4 linked regions of the Oryzias latipes genome follow. The protein of the gene in region 3 purifies or fractionates together with the protein of the main gene of each other region. This does not show direct contact. Links are inferred from orthologs where the notes say so. Each region holds a gene or a part of one and is shown on either strand. Other genes may lie near its edges.

Region 1 (4,034 bases), on a different chromosome or scaffold from region 3:
GATAACGTTCCAAATGTCTGGAAGCTCATTTGTTTGATTTACAAGTTATTAAAGTTTTATTTATTGATGGTTGGTTTGCAGGATCACTGCAGCCCGATGAAGCCGTCATCGGGTGTCCCTGCAGCTGTTTGCTTGAATCCTTTCTTCCTCCACCAAAGACCAGATCTCTACGTTTGTGTGATGCTTCCGTCTGAGGAGGAGAAGCACTTTTTGCCTTTTTCAACGTTGTAATGCTAATAATAGACTATTTTCATTCATCTTTGTTTTTAATGATCAAACGGGTCGCTTCATCTGCAGGAGGGGGCGTATGTAACACTGTTTACTTCCGCATTGGTGATCGGATGACAGGTTCATGACGTAATGTGACAGATGAACTTCAGGTTATGTGAATGAAAAGGAGAATAAAGGCTGCAGCGGTCCTCTACACCCAAACGTGTCTCTGAGCTCCTTATTTTACATATGAAAGTCCGCTTTACTGACACCGAACCCCGGAAAGACTGCTACACGGAAAATAATCTGATTTTGAGTCGCCAAAAGACTCAGAATCTCTTTGTTTTAAACCTATAATCCTGAAATAAAGCTTCACAAAAGGCTCCACATATTTCCTCTTCAAGCTAGGCTCCGATAAACAGACAACTTCGGGGTTTTCTCCTTGTTAATCTATGACTTTTTTCCCGTAAATTTACGAGTTTTTTATCTCCTAATAAAATTTCTTTTTTTTGGTGGCCATAAAACTCTGTCGTAAACTCTTAAATACAAAGCCACTAGCTCACTAACATTAGCCATAACACAGAATATTCCTGAAAGACTCAACTTCACTGCTCGCGCGCAACATTGCGACTTTAATCTCGAAACTTTATTTCGACTTTTATCTCGACAGGACGAGTTTTTTCTCGAAACTTTGTGTCGAGTTTTTTCTCGTCATGACGAGATTAAAGTCGACATGACGACTTTAATCTCGTCATGTTGGCCAGAATTTTTTTTCCTCCCCGTGGCCCTAAAACTCCGTCGTAGAAACAAGACGTTTGTTTGTATAGCAAATTTAACACACCACAAAAACTCTAAATTTTAAAGAATGTTTCTTATCCCTGCATTTTTAGTTCTAAAATAATTATAGGGATTCTACTTCTGTTGACAAAGATATTTAAACAGAAAAGCCAATCATAACAAAACCACGTGGCAGACATGTTTATTTTTATGCTGCTTTAGCAAATGGATTCATGCCACTTATTTCCTTTCATGATCCTGCATGCTGTTCCTGGGACGGAATTTGGTTTGATGGCATAAAATAAAAATTGAGAATCTGAACCAAAAATTACAAAAAGTAATCGTGAAGGTTGAGTTTTGTCCGAACGAAAAAAGAAAAAAAAGGGGGGGGGGCAAAACTTGTGACGCAGTGAGTGAGTAATCCCAGCAATAATGCAAACATTTAAAACCACAAACAAATCATGGGCAGGTACACTCCCAGACAAGATATCAAAAGTCAGTTTGAAAAGATGTCATCCCAGGTTGTTTTTAGGGTCAATCCTGCAATAGCGGCCTGCTATCCGCCACCTATCAGAGGATCTGCTAACCATCTCACAGCAGGTCAGGTCGTGACCCCAGCACCCCACTAAAACTGTCTGGACAAAGATGAAAAAGTAAAAGCTTCTCTTAATAGAATAGGATTTTTCAGACATCCCAATTAGCTGTCAAAGCAGATCTACGGTCCTTGAAAATAAAAATAAAAATCAATAACGACTCCTGGTTAAATTCTACATTAGAAATTACTAAAAACAACATTTATTCAGAAAAGTAATACTTTTTTGGTAGTAATTAAATAAAAAGTCACACTTTTTATTTGCTTTTTTCAAAGGGGGAGGAAAACAAGTTTTCTTCCATCAGTTCCCCATTTAAAAAAAAAAAAATACAATTATTTTGATAGGGAAACCCCATATATAAACTAGCTAAGCTAATATCAAAGTGGAGCTTTCATAAACGACTGCAGCCAATTACATAACTGGGATTATTACACAGCCTGGATTATTACACACTGCGGACAATGCGGACTGCTAACACTAATTTGAGTGAACCAACTTGATTAAACTAGTTTAAATCGTAACTGTAGGGTTAGCATGTAAAATTACCGTATGGCTAAAGCCAGGATTTGCTGCAAAACTGTCAAACAAGTTTTTTTTTTCACTCTGGAGCTACACAATGACAATCTGCCAGCAAGATAGTTTTTTTTAAATCATCACATAATACTAAAAAACCAAAACTCTAAAAACTTGTGACTAAAACAAAACAAAACAAAACCAAAAACGATGTCCGTGTCCATAAAGAAAAATGTACGACAGCGAGTACAGCTCCCGAAGATCCGTTACAGGACAAACAAGAACTTGTATTTTCGCTCCCAATCCCATTTTTCCTGTGAGTTCCCGTTCTCTCTCCCACTCACCTTGCTTTTCACTTCCACGGCGTTACAGTCGATGTGTCGCAAAGGCTGTGATTTATTAAAACTCCGATTCATTTTCTTGTGGTTGTAGTTTAAAGAGAATCCACACACACCAAAAAAAAAAAAAAAAGTTCAGCCGCCTCTGCCCGTAATGAGTGGGGCTCCGTTTCTCTGGCTTCTGCCGAAAATATCAGTCTTCTACTACCGCCTGCAGATATGAGGGTTTTTGTCTAAAGCTTCTCGTTCAAAAGCCGTTATTAAAACCAACTCTGCCCCGTCAAACGCGAGGGAGGACTGCGCCGTGGAAAAGATGGGAAGCGACTGACCGCGCTAAGTTGAGAATGCAAGTTTTGAAATGACATCAGCCCTCAGAAAAAAAAGCATCATGTTGCATTCAAGACCTGCTCGTAAATCATAGCTTCCTCGCAGCCACACCAATGATGTTCAAGTACTGCTAGTTAGAATAAATATGTACAGAAAGCGAATAGCAATGTAAATATAGCTTACCTGAAGTACACTATAGAATCTTAGTGCAATAATTATTCTAAATCCAGACAAAAATTGCGTAAAATGGACTAACAACGTCATGACGTACTTTTGCTATGACGCAGGAGCTACACAGATTAGCAATTAGGTTTTTTTTTTAAAAGAAAAACGAACATGCACAAAGGGACACAAAATACTAAATAATATTTTAGTTATTTTCCTTTTTAAGCACAATTTAGGTTCTAAACATTTATAGAAGACTAGTAGAATCAAACATGCAGAAGGCCTATGGCTTGATTTTGCTAAGTATATTTCATTTAAACATACCATTTCATTTGTCTTTGCAGCTGTGTTCATGGTTTGGTAGTGAACTTCTAAATCTCATTATGAATGAATGAGACTGCAAAAAAAAAAAACAAAAAGATAAAAAAAATATTGATGCTTCAAAACTATCTAACCGCCCAAGAAACTTCTATCTCTTGTTATCTTCATTCCATAACATTGAGGTGAACACAACCTGCAACCTAAAAAATATCACACCTTGTAGAACTTTACTAACAATCATCTTAATATTTTAAACATGGCAAAAAAAAAAAACATTCAAGTGAAACCAGAACTTTTAGACTGCTTGAACCATGCAATGGTGGATGTTTTTTTTATTTATCGTCCTGTGGTCATGTGGCGTTTTCTTTAATTGTGTATATGTTTTTTTTTTTTTTTACCTAGCAACAACTTATTTATAATTTTCTGTTTTTAGTAATGCACTTTTGGGGTATATTTTTTGTATGTATTATTTAATGTTGTTTTAGTCGTACATGTTATAATGGCAAATTGTTGTTTTAATGTATAAAAGCACTCTAAATGTCATTGTACCAGACATAATGACAAAAAAGATCTATCTATCTATCTATCTATCTATCTATCTATCTATCTATCTATCTATCTATCTATCTATCTATCTATCTATCTATCTATCTATCTATCTATCTATCTATCTATCTATCTATCTATCTATCTATCTATCTATCTATCTATCTATCTATCTATCTATCTATCTATCTATCTATCTATCTATCTATCTATCTATCTATCTATCTATCTATCTATCTATCTA
Region 2 (4,008 bases), on a different chromosome or scaffold from region 3:
AAGTCAGAGACAACAAACCTTTTCTTGAAAAACCACAGCTGTCTCTAATCCAGGCATGATGTTCTGCAGCAGACGGCAAGCTGCTGCATTGAGGGGGAATTCCCTGCTCGTCATCACATAGTTGTTCACCAACTAAAATACAGACGTTTTAAAATGATCTTCTGAGTAGACTATAGAATATGCTTTAACTTTTACAAGAAAAAAAGAATACATTTGCTCATCCATTCTTACAGTGTTCATGAAGTCATCATTCTTGAACAGGATCTTCAGTAGATGCCCTAACATACATTCAGGATCAGCTCTCCCTGGTGGTCAAAAGGGAAAAATACAAAAACATAGAAGAAACTTTAAACTTGTATTTGAGCAATTGTTTGTATTTTTCTCTTCTCCATACCAGGATGCCGATCATCAAACGGGTCGGGGTCTGCTTTGTGGTACTCCTCTGTCTCCTTTTCAACAAGCTCAGATATTCTGAAAGTTACCGCACATCAAGAGATTTAACATCACCTTTAACATCATAAAACACAAAAAATCAGAGACGCACTTACTTTGTAAGAAGGTTAACCAGGTCTTGTGTGCTGCCGTGCTGTTCCCTTTCCCACTGCTCCAGCAGAGCAGTCAGCTCCGCTTTTGAGTCCACACTGGCGGGTGCTGACGCCATTGTGATGCCTAGAAGGGCCTGAAGAACAAAAAGTGCACCCCTTTATTTAAATTAACAAACGGGTAGGAGCATGAAATCAGACAAGTATTGCACTGATAACAGATTTTTTTGCGCCCTCCAAGAACTGGTGACAAATATAACTATTTATCTTAACAGGCTGAATAAAGTCAATTAAACATCCAACGAGATGAACATTAAAACAGTAGGCTGAAATTCCATTCAACACTTATAAACTTTGTGTGAGGAACTGCCTCTGAGGAAGTATGGTGACTTTTCACAGGTGCAACTGGAAATACTCAGAACAAAACGGTTAAAGACTCAAAGACCCTCTCCGATCATCTTTCATTCCATTTTAGAGACATTCCTAGTGGTCTTTTAATTATGATGATGCCATGTTTTACTTAACACACACAAAAATACAAAAAACCTGAGTCACTTTTTAGGACAGTTTTAGTTTCATACTCGGAAACACATTTTTAAGCTTATTTGTTTCTTAATGAAAAAAATGCCACATAATGTTAAAAACACCAAAAACTACGGTATTTTCATTCGTGTTAAAGTTTACCAGTGAAAATGAGGGCAAATCTTTAGCTAACTATTGGGCTCAAAGTGTCAATTTTGGAGCTTTAAAAAAAAAGGGGGGGGGGGGGTCACATAATCCACTAAGGTCGGGTGCACTGAAGACTTGTTTTGGTGTAAACGAATCACGCAGAAAACAGGAACCGATAAACTCATGTAACTTTTTTGCCTGCTGGTAAATAAACAACCAGACACGTCCCTATATGACCTCAACTACCTGGTTTTTTTATTAACCCATGTAGTACTTTTTGTAATATTTCTTGTTGAAGGCATGGTTAACCCTTGTGCTATCTTAGATGACCCCACCCTTACTTTGACGTGTTCTCCCTACCATGACAAAGGTGGATAGAGGTGGAAAGATTTCATGTAATCCGTGGACACCAGTGAAGATCACAAGTCATTGAAGAAAAAAGGTTCAGTCAGAGCACTGTCTAGTGGGTCTAGATGACCCCACTCCCAATGGTAAAGTCCTTAGGATAACACAAGGGTTAATAATTACAAGAAAATTCGTCCTTTTTTAATTCTCTACTGGTAGCTTTTTTTAAACTCACTCTAATGATTTTTTGTAGCGATTTGTTCAGCACTTACTGTTTTCGGCAAGAATTAAACCTAGTAAGCAAGTCGAAAAAAGGGTTGCTTTTTCTGGTCATCTTTTTACTGCTTCCACCCGTCGTTGTTTTATTTAAATAGCGAATCGTTTTGATATTTTATTTCGACAGCTAGTGTTGACTGTTAATCGCCATAATAATGCAAGTCGTGTTTTTTAATTATCTCCTCCAAATGTTTTATCAAAAATCCAGTTAATATTTGATTTTGTATCACAAAAAAAGCGCCAGACACAAAGACTTGGGGGAAACAAACATTTCCGCTTCACTGCTTCATAACCGACTGTCTGCACGTGTGAGTTCCTCACGGGAATGCAACTGTCAAAGTTGACCCGAAGTTAATTGCTTATTAATCTTTTTAGAATTGTCATTTAGTCAGAATTGAAGTATAAGTTATTCATTTAAACGTTTTTAAAGACATTACTTTGTTTCTTTAGCTGTCCTGAGCAACACGAAAGTGCCGTGCTTCATGCGTTGTTGTTTGCTTTGTTGTTTGCTTAGCAAATACAGTTGCTTCACACGGCAGCTGAGCTAGCCTAAAGCGCTAGCTAGACACAATTGTCTCTTAAAACTCTACATTTGTAACGTACAATTGCTCACAAATTTCGGGAATTGAAAAACATCATGGTCAGATGTTTTAATGTCATTTACATTAATAAAAGAACTCGTATTTCAAAACACAAGTGGGCTTAGTACAAGTAAAAGCATCACAGATGAACCTACCTAGTGGTTAGCCAGAGCGCTAACTTTACCTTGCTCCTCCAAGTTCCTGCTTGATATCCTCGATATAAACAAAAAATCGACCTACCAAAATAAGTCCCAATTTAGCTGCTGTTTGAAGAATTATAATACATTGATTACAATTTTACCGGCGTCCCTTAATTCGCTTATTTTACAGCTTTCTGTTCACGGTTTATTATCATTATGGCGAACACGTTCTTGACGTCATTCAACTGCGACCGTCCATTGTTAATGACATCATTCGAAAAAATAAAACTCGTTTATTAGCATTTTTTATGAAAAATATAGTCAACATAAAATACAAATGCATTTAATGTGTAATTATTCAAATATAATAATTATTGAAATATAATAATTATTAAAATCATAATTGGAGATTGATTTAGTCAAAAGGTTAAATTGATAAAAGTCTCATTTTTTTCCTCCATTTGTCCCATATTTTCCCTTTATGCTTTGATTTCCACCGTAATTTCCAACTTATATATGGGTAAGTGATTTCAGTCAGTTTTACTGACCCACACATCCTGTGGCTTTGATTGCTAAAACAGAGCTCATCATCTGCTCCCACAATTACATTACAGAGCAACAACAGGTAGCAGGATAATTATCCGCACTGACTTTGAACTCATTTCCATAAACAAAATAAATGTGGGATTCCCCTTTCCATGTGTAGGTGACTTTTGTGACAGGGATCAGCTCGATGGTTTGGCGCTGAAAAGAAAATAAGGTTATTTTGAATGGATTTAATTGAGGAGATTTTGAATGAATCCAATTATACCAAAATAAATAAATAAACACCTGCCGCAAAACGCGAGATGTCTTAAAATATTTTCCCTGGTGTTCACTGACAAGACGCTGGGAAGCCTGTACCACAGTGGGATCTGGAAAGCCCATCACAGGGTACACCTGAAACAGTCAGTCACAAGCATAACATAAGCAACGGTCACTTCTTAAAATGTACATTTACTTAAGCAAAAAAATACAGAACTGATAAAAACAAAACAAAACTTCCAACTCAAGTAAAAGATTATTTTAAAAATGTAATGATTGTTTACTTGCATAAAAAACACCATTTATGACCAGATTGTATTCTAAAAAGACAGTTTAAAAGCACTGTTACCATGGGTTGGGAGTCTTTGAAAAGCTCCTTGCCAGACACTTCACGAAGATTTTCCATCTGAAGTCCACTGCGCTGTTCCACAACATAATCATCAGTGTTGTTAGTCCTGCAAGGAAATACAAAAACATAATCAATAATAGAAGGAAAATAAATGTTAACCGAATAAGATTATTATAAAGATTTCTCTTCTAAATATACAGTATAGATTGCTGCTTCACAGCTGTTCCAACCATTTCACAGTGAGGTTGATGAAGACAAGAAGCTGCTGTTTTCCATTGCAAATCTCACACATCCTGGATCCT
Region 3 (4,237 bases):
AAGCAACTTAACCTTTTTCTCATGCTGGAATTGTGAGTTCAACTCCAGGCTTTACACACCCATTTCTTTGCGTTTGTTATCCTTTTCTTTTGCTGACGACTTTTAGCAACAGTTTTATTTTGATTGTAGTTAGTTTCTTGTAGCTCTTCCTCATCTTTTTGGTTTTTTACAAGTATGCATTACATTAATAAACTATAAATATTGGAGACAATAAAGAAATCTCTTTTTGTAGTCATCAAATTACCAAACCAACATGCTGTTACAACAGAAACGCTTGATTCCCATTTAAACATTGAAAGAAAAAAAAGACTTCAAGGATGAACACATCTTTGGTAATAAGTCTATGTACAGCAACATGTGTTAAGTCGCCCTTGTTAGGAGACAGACAAAGTCAGTTTCTCAGTGCTCACAGGTGGTGTAGTGCAGTGTTTTTCAACCAGTGTGCCGCGGCACACTAGTGTGCCGTGGGAGATGGTCAAGTGTGCCGTGGGAAATTGCCCTCATTAACTGATTTAACAACATTTTCCATCTCCAGGATTTCAGTTCTTTGTTCATCCCTACATGATAAAACACTAAGAACTTGGGAATATGAAAGATCGTAAAATACTTTTTTCTTTGTGTTTATTTGATTCTATTAAATACATTTTCATAAGAATGACTGTACCACGATTTAGCCGCAGCTTCAGCTGCGTTAGGAAAAGTTCCGCCCCTTTAACTGTCTCCACCAATCATTCTTGGGATCTTAATCACATGTCATCAGTCTGACCAATCAGAAGTGGTTAAAGTCACCTTTTCCTTGTTCTGAATTCTGCTGAAAAAGTCGCTCAGTTCTAAGAAAAATACCAGCCAAAGCTCGTCTTTAGCGGTGTAGCTTTCCACAGAATCCGGTGTCAGACCGAGGAACAAGTGAACAAGACAATGAAGCTCAGAGACGCTAGTCTCTCTGCGTTCGGCGGATAATTGAACTACATCTCCCATGATGCATTGGGGTAAAGCGACACTGAGCGTCTGGGCGCACGACTCTCTCCTCTTAACGTCCTGAAACCACAACGACCACAAATCAAACAGTTTTTAAATCGTTTGACTTAACTTTTATTACATCTTAAAAATACAGCTGCAGCTTCCAGCTTTTTCTGCCACAATTATCACAAAAATGCACTGAGATTATGGAGGGACTGTAGATCTATACAGACCGAATTTCTCCTTTTTTTTTTTTTTTGAACGCCGGAGTGCCGCGGGATTTTTGTCAAGGTTGAAGTGTGCCGTGGCTCAGAAAAGGTTGAAAAACACTGGTGTAGTGGAATAATGACGTGCTTGCAATGCTTTTCTTGGAATTACCTGGGTTTGAATCCAGCGGTCGCATTGATACTTTTGAATACATGGTTAAATTTCATTAGGCAAACAAAACGTGATTTTAAATTCATATTAATATCTTCTTAAGAACAACTACAATGAAACCAAGAGTTTACTGATCAAGAAAAGTCTCAACAAAAAAGAAGAAGAGCAACAACAAAAACGAACTATGATCAAAATAATACTGTTGATAAAAGTCACCCAAAGAAAAAGAAACACGATGAGAAAAAAGTATATGGTTCTGCTGCTTAAACCACCAGGCTATCACAGACAACTGATGGTCACCGTTGGCCTAAGCCAATTTATTCAAACATTACAGCTTGTGAAACAACACAAGACGGCATAAATTACGTACTAGTACTACGTTTAAACGGGCGTAGAAATCGGCGATTTTTTTAAGGCCAAAATGGTGTCCTTATACCACTTTTCTTTGGGATTTTTATAACTTGTTTCGCTTGCCATATTGTCTTTGTAAAGTTCTTCAGACTCGTGGAGGTCCTGCAGGTTTGGGTTCAGAACCGGACCGTCAACTCTCCGAGGCTGCAAACCCCCCCAGATGGTTGACTCTGAACCTCGAGGACACGCCTGCAGCGGACACACCTTTCCGCAGACACAGTTCCGTGTTTTACGCAAGCAGCCGGAACATGAACTCACCTTTCCCCGCAGGTGAGACGTCACATCGCCAAGAGGGCCGCACACCCACTCTTCATGTCGGGTTTGCCGAGCGCGGTAGTGTCCCCCTGCCGAGTAAATGTGGTCGGAAACTACGAACTGCGAACCGAGCTAAAAGCCGAACTGTGAGAACAAGGAGAGCCGAACCGGTTGATGATCAAATCACAGAAGAAAACTGGAGGCTAAACTTCAGAAATCAGTTCACAACACAACAAACTAGCCAAACCTCACTCCTCGGGTTTCTCTCTTGTATCCAAATTGATTTAATTTGGTAAACAGAATCTACCATAACACGGGACCGAGGTTGGTTCTGGTTCTTTTGTTCGGAACCAGGACCCTGTGCCGCGTCGCGAAGGCTCTACCGATTTTATACATTAGGCAGTCCGCCCCGAACCCTCCATCTCGGCGGTACCAAGAAGACCCGAGAACGCCCAATACGTGGCCGTGACGGACCATTATAACTTAAGGATGACAGCACCGATATGATACACCTGCGGGATCAGCACTGCGGAATCCCTCTGGGCCCTCCCCCGACCCACCTGGTGCACCGCGGCAGTTGGTCCGCCGCTGTGAAAGAGACAGCCGCTGGTTCCAGTCCGAATCCCAGTGGTCCGGGACTTCTGTTCTTATACAGGGTTACAATTAAAGTGTCCAACTGCTGAGTCTGAACAGCGCTTTGCTGGTCCGGAACCTTCGCGCGTGTGGACAGTTTAAAACTCCGGCCAGGTTTGTCCGTTCCTCAGCGGCGGAAGGTTCGCTGCTTCCTGCTTAGATCTACTTCACTTCCCTGTTGACTCCGCCCCCTGAGGCATTCACTATCCTCCTGGAAATAGCAGCTTCGATGGATGCTCTGCTGATTTTCTTCTCCAAGACTGAAAAACAAAAACTTAAATTGTATCTTTTGTGACGACAGTAATATTAAATTTCTTTGTATTTTTCTGACATGAAAAACACTATTTTTAGCTAGAAAAAAGACTGAATAATAAAGGAGAACTGAAAGGTCTGATCTTCTGAAGCTGGAGGGGATATAACTGCATTCTGGGGAACATCTTTTTCCAGTAGCTTTGTCTGCATTCAGAATCCTGCATCTCTTCATGTGTCAGTTAACTTGATTACCTTTTCTTCTTGGTCAATCTATATTTCTGTCACAGCAGTCAATGATGCCCACATTTTAATTTAGGCTGAAATACAAGTAAGTGAATGTTCTGATCTGTGGTTGTACTTCAGAAGGTTTTTCATGACGATAAGCGGTTTGATTTAGACAGGTCTGCTGACAGTGTTCGGACTAATAGAAATAATAAAATACTAAAATGTAAGCAGGTAAAGTCTTCCTGTGAAACTGCTGTCAGTGCTGCTGTTAAGCCATAGACATGTTGAAATAGACATAGATATCTCCCAAATTGGATTCAACACAGATAACATAAAGCCCAACATAAGCTCAAAACCCTGAATGGCATTTGGGCGGAACAAGTAAAGTTTAAAGCCCTTATGGGTTCACCGATTGGTCAAAAGAAACCCACCCATAAATCAGTGCAATTTTGAGCTCCAATAAAATCAAAGCTATAGTACTTGAGAAATAATTTAATAAAGATAAACATAATATCCAAGAAACCTGGATATACAAATGTCTTTTTTGGTATAAAATTAAAAATTTTAACATGTATGTAAAAGAAATCTAATTCTACAACCTGCCTTCAGTGTTTTCTGGTGAAACTGCAACATTTGAAACATTTTTTATTATTTCAAACACAAACTGAAAATAAACACAAGAGTTAAAAATAGGAAAATAAAACAAAACAATGTGCTTGAAAAGGAGTGGGCAGAAAAATTGTTTTTGTTTGGTCCCACCCCTTTTTAAAACAGCTGCTGCTGTGCATATTTCTATTTACAGTTTTTCTTAATCAAATCATTCAATTTACCTTCTGTGTGACACCCATGCAAAAGAGACACTTGCTTACTTGTTTTTATTGATTATTTCTAGCCTTGTAAAGTTCCATCAGTTACATCTTGTATGTTTTTTTAAATACATGTAAACGTTTGCCAATGAGTTATACCGTTAGAGGAGACACGCCCGCTTGGGAAGCCTGGCTGACTGTGGCAGAACGCGACGCCATCTCGGTGAGGTCGTCAGCGCCCATATGACAATGCTTTCTATAGCCTTTAGTGGCATCTAAGTAGCTTTTATATAATTTATATATATTTATATATTTAT
Region 4 (4,190 bases), on a different chromosome or scaffold from region 3:
AACTTGTTAGCTAGTTTATTATATGCTAATATGATTAATTGTGATTCAATATCATGGATTTCAATGGTTAATGGTTATCAATGGCTGTTAGCTGTGCCTCTTCCTGAGATTTCCTGACAGTTTTAGACTTACAGATGTTTTTCAGGTTAGGCTTTGCATGGATTTAAAAACAGAATCAGTGAAGTCTTATCATTCAGATAAGACTGTAGTACTGTGCATAACAAACCCAACAGAACCAATGACCTGCAGAGGGAACGCTGCTGCATACGCCTGTACTTAGATCCCACAGCTGACTGTATGCTCACTGCAAAAAAGACATTTTCCTGAATGTTTTTACTGGCACTTCCCCTCTAGTTCTCTGTCTTCCGTTTTTCCTCATTTCCTTGATTTCCCAGAGAAGTCTATGGAAAATTGTGCTTTGCATGAAAAACACGACAAGCTGGAACAAACTGCATTTGTCATGTAAAGACTTTACAAAAATAATGTGTAAGGAAACACTGAAGCATGGGCAGCTGTTTCTGTGTACACGCTGGAGCCATCTTACTCATCCCAGCTGAGCGTGACGTTGGCACCGTAGATGACGGGCCTGGACTTGGGCAAAAAGCTGTCCTGAATCAGCACAGCCTTCATGAAGAACAAAAACGCTGACAGCTCCTCAGTCGACTCCAAGTTTGCATCTCCTGCTGGAATGAGCCTGCTGTTGCTCATCTGTTAGCAGCCAGCAGATGTGCACCAGCGTGCACGTCTTTATGTACACAGGGATGAAGTTAGTGCAACTGTCCCTCACCTGCGCATGAGAAACAAACAGCCAACATGAAAAGAAAAGCAGAACACATTTGGGCCACATAAGCACAGTTCTTTGGCACTGACAGGTGAGCACAGCGCTGTAAATTCCAGCTGTGAACGCTTTTCTCTGACTTCTACGGCTCTGCAGCTTTTAGGACAACATCTGGCTCTCAAAACATGGACCGACCAAATCCTCATGCCCACAGACGCCTCCAGATGTGCGTGTCATGAGCAGGACGGAGAAGGTCTGCGGAGTCCGCTAGGGGACTGTGTGAACTCGGAAGACCAGATCCTGAGTCCCCTTTATCTCAGTCAGTGTCTTTTCATTCCGAAAACGACACTTTAAATAGAGGACACGTGGCGGGACATCCTGTTCCAAGCTTTCCTCAGAGGATCTGAGGCTGTCTGCTGACCCCTTCAGGACAGAGACAGACCATAATATCAGCACAATGTCATACCAGAGACAGCATCCACCAAAAGGAACAACTTCTCCCTGACTGGACGTCTGGACCCAAAACACACCAGCACCCTGCCGGTGGGAGGGGGTGGGGGGTTCAGCCCAAAGGTTTCAACATTCATATTTTATGAATATGGATTATTTTTGCCATTAAACTGGCTCCTGAACATACCAGCTCACACCCAGCAGTAACAGCTGGAAACAGCCTGACTCTGAAATGTTCCTCATTCATTTACAGACCCCCCCCCCCCCCCCCACACACACACACACAGACGCAGACCTCCATCACTTGCTAAATGTTGACAAGTAAAGCTCTTCAACACGATTTACCTCCAAAGCTTTTACAATCTGACAAAAGGTCTCTTCATTTTTTAAAAGTACAAAGTGTTTAGAAACTGAGATTTAGCCATGAAAAGGAGGAAAGAAAGATCTGTGAAGAAAAATCTGCTGAGCAATGAAAATAAACGGATGAGGGACAAAAAAATAAACGATGAGGGAAAATCCCCCCAAAAGATTAGGAATTTTCTGTTTTTGACTGATGGATAAACAAAGTTTTTACTGGAGTTTTTGCTGTTTTCAGCTCTAATCTCCAATGTTTTAAGGTGACATTTTAATAATAATCAATAACAATAATAATAACATCCTTTCCAAAGTGACAATTAGCAGAACCGTTTCCAAAGTCCAAATTATTTCCATTTACCAAACCGTTATGGAAACCCTGACAAATATTTGATCCTTAAGCATCACAGAGCCAGAGGAAAGTTACCAACCAGAGGTGAAGCTTTTAGAAACTGAATCCCTCATTTCCCTGAAGGTTTCACAGACAAACATCCTCAGACTCTCTCTGTCTGATCCGGCTTCTTTTTTAGTTCCACATGTTTGGTTTTGTTGTTGCTTCTGCTAAAAGAACTCTGTGTGTGTGTGTGTGTGGGGGGGGGGGGTCTCTGCTCATCCACAGAGGCCCCATGTCTGCCTCCATGGGGCTCTGGAATGAGCGGATCCGGCCCTGCTCTACCCGGATGATGCTGAACAGAACCGAGAGCAGAACCGATCCACGCGCCAGATCTCTGTGGATCTGCGGCGCGTGACCGTGAACCGGAGCGGTGGAGGCGCACCGCGCGTTCCGCCGCGGATGCGCCCCACCCTCGGTGCCGTTCCCGCCGCGCACTCACTTTGCTCTTGACCTCCACCACGCTCTCCGCCGCCCGGGTGGGCGTGCGGCTCTGCGACGCTCTGGACATGCTGCTCCGCGGCGGTCCGGTCGGCTGCGGGGAAAAGCGTCCTCCGGGACGGACACGGCTGCTTCCTCCTCTGAACGCCCCAGTCTAACCATGGAGGAGGCGGCGAGAGCGCGCAGCAGGCTTGTCGGTTTCCTGCTCCAGAACCGGTTCGGTCAGCTCCATGTCGTTCGTGTCTGCGCGCGCCCGTCCCCCCAACCAGACGCGCATGCGTGCACGCGCAGATGAACAGCGCAGAGATCGTGACAGGTGGAGTCCGGTAAATCCGGTACCCCCTCCCCCAACCCTACCCCCGACCAGCCCGGAGGACTCAGCGGAGGGGGCGGGACCATGTCGCTGCTGTCTCCGGACGAACCCGACCCCCTCCCGCCGGAGGATTGCAGACAGAGTTCACACCTGCAGCACACCTGAGGCTCAGGCACCGACATGGATGAAACCCAGAACCCAATAACCGACCGCAGAAAGAGCGTCCTGCTCGACCCCTATTCTCACAGTGTATGGACGAAAGGCTCCATGTCTGCAGCAGCACCCAGAGGACCTCCACCCTCCATCCCTCATCCTCCTCCCTTCATCCCCCACCCTTCATCTTCCATCCTCCACCCTCCATCCTCCACCCTCCATCTTTCATCCTCCATCCTTCATCCTCCTCCCTTCATCCCCCACCCTTCATCCTCCACCCTCCATCCTCCACCCTCCATCTTTCATCCTCCATCCTTTATCCTCCATCCTAGGACGAAAGGCTCCATGTCTGCAGCAGCACCCAGAGGACCTCCACCCTCCATCCCTCATCCTCCTCCCTTCATCCCCCACCCTTCATCCTCCATCCTCCACCCTCCATCCTCCACCCTCCATCCTTCATCCTCCATCCTTTATCCCCCACCCTTCATCCCCCACCCTTCATCCTCCACCCTCCATCCTTCATCCTCCATCCTTCATCCTCCATCCTTCATCCCCCACCCTTCATCCTCCACCCTCCATCCTTCATCCTCCATCCTTCATCCTCCATCCTTCATCCCCCACCCTTCATCCTCCACCCTCCATCATCCACCCTCCATCCTTCATCCCCCACCCTTCATCCCCCACCCTTCATCCTCCACCCTTCATCCTCCACCCTCCATCATCCACCCTCCATCCTTCATCCCCCACCCTTCATCCTCCACCCTCCATCCTTCATCCTCCATCCTTCATCCTCCATCCTTCATCCCCCACCCTTCATCCCCCACCCTTCATCCTCCACCCTCCATCCTTCATCCTCCATCCTTCATCCTCCATCCTTCATCCCCCACCCTTCATCCTCCACCCTCCATCATCCACCCTTCATCCTCCATCCTCCACCCTCCATCCTCCACCCTCCATCCTTCATCCTCCATCCTTCATCCTCCATCCTTTATCCCCCACCCTTCACCCTTCATCCCCCACCCTTCATCCTCCATCCTCCACCCTCCATCCTCCACCCTCCATCCTTCATCCCCCACCCTTCATCCTCCATCCTCCACCCTCCATCATCCACCCTCCATCCTTCATCCCCCACCCTTCATCCTCCATCCTCCACCCTCCATCCTCCACCCTCCATCCTTCATCCTCCATCCTTCATCCTCCATCCTTTATCCCCCACCCTTCATCCTCCATCCTCCACCCTCCATCCTCCACCCTCCATCTTTCATCCTCCATCCTTTATCCTCCATCCTAGGACGAAAGGCTCCATGTCT

The links. Proteins that work in one complex are often made in the same cells at the same time.
Region 1: the proteins of llgl2 (region 3) and partitioning defective 6 homolog gamma purify together in Homo sapiens (affinity purification with mass spectrometry; 4 studies listed by BioGRID and IntAct, counting the BioPlex papers as one, with this or other methods). This does not show direct contact. The link is inferred for Oryzias latipes from reciprocal best matches to the Homo sapiens genes LLGL2 and PARD6G.
Region 2: the proteins of llgl2 (region 3) and dcaf1 purify together in Homo sapiens (co-immunoprecipitation; 3 studies listed by BioGRID and IntAct, counting the BioPlex papers as one, with this or other methods). This does not show direct contact. The link is inferred for Oryzias latipes from reciprocal best matches to the Homo sapiens genes LLGL2 and DCAF1.
Region 4: the proteins of llgl2 (region 3) and partitioning defective 6 homolog alpha purify together in Homo sapiens (affinity purification with mass spectrometry; 5 studies listed by BioGRID and IntAct, with this or other methods). This does not show direct contact. The link is inferred for Oryzias latipes from reciprocal best matches to the Homo sapiens genes LLGL2 and PARD6A.

What each region holds. Positions count from the first base shown.
Region 1 is NC_019869.2:23,943,826-23,947,859, reverse strand, and holds the start of partitioning defective 6 homolog gamma, read right to left. Parts: upstream 2,805-4,034; 5' UTR 2,510-2,804; coding exon 2,438-2,509; intron 1-2,437. UniProt on the Homo sapiens protein: Adapter protein involved in asymmetrical cell division and cell polarization processes. May play a role in the formation of epithelial tight junctions. The PARD6-PARD3 complex links GTP-bound Rho small GTPases to atypical protein kinase C proteins.
Region 2 is NC_019865.2:16,283,944-16,287,951, forward strand, and holds the start of dcaf1 (DDB1- and CUL4-associated factor 1), read right to left. Parts: upstream 2,805-4,008; 5' UTR 2,569-2,804; intron 680-2,568; 5' UTR 662-679; coding exon 549-661; intron 472-548; coding exon 395-471; intron 306-394; coding exon 232-305; intron 133-231; coding exon 19-132; intron 1-18. Other genes in the region: protein SSUH2 homolog, read right to left, coding at 3,157-3,297, 3,385-3,492, 3,707-3,812, 3,937-4,008. UniProt on the Homo sapiens protein: Acts both as a substrate recognition component of E3 ubiquitin-protein ligase complexes and as an atypical serine/threonine-protein kinase, playing key roles in various processes such as cell cycle, telomerase regulation and histone modification.
Region 3 is NC_019877.2:17,364,353-17,368,589, forward strand, and holds the start of llgl2 (lethal(2) giant larvae protein homolog 2), read right to left. Parts: upstream 2,815-4,237; 5' UTR 2,565-2,814; intron 2,535-2,564; exon of another isoform or gene 2,252-2,534; intron 2,149-2,251; exon of another isoform or gene 2,094-2,148; 5' UTR 2,008-2,093; intron 1-2,007. UniProt on the Homo sapiens protein: Part of a complex with GPSM2/LGN, PRKCI/aPKC and PARD6B/Par-6, which may ensure the correct organization and orientation of bipolar spindles for normal cell division.
Region 4 is NC_019864.2:4,759,417-4,763,606, reverse strand, and holds the start of partitioning defective 6 homolog alpha, read right to left. Parts: upstream 2,805-4,190; 5' UTR 2,485-2,804; coding exon 2,416-2,484; intron 1-2,415. Other genes in the region: putative proline-rich protein 21, read left to right, coding at 2,908-4,190. UniProt on the Homo sapiens protein: Adapter protein involved in asymmetrical cell division and cell polarization processes. Probably involved in the formation of epithelial tight junctions.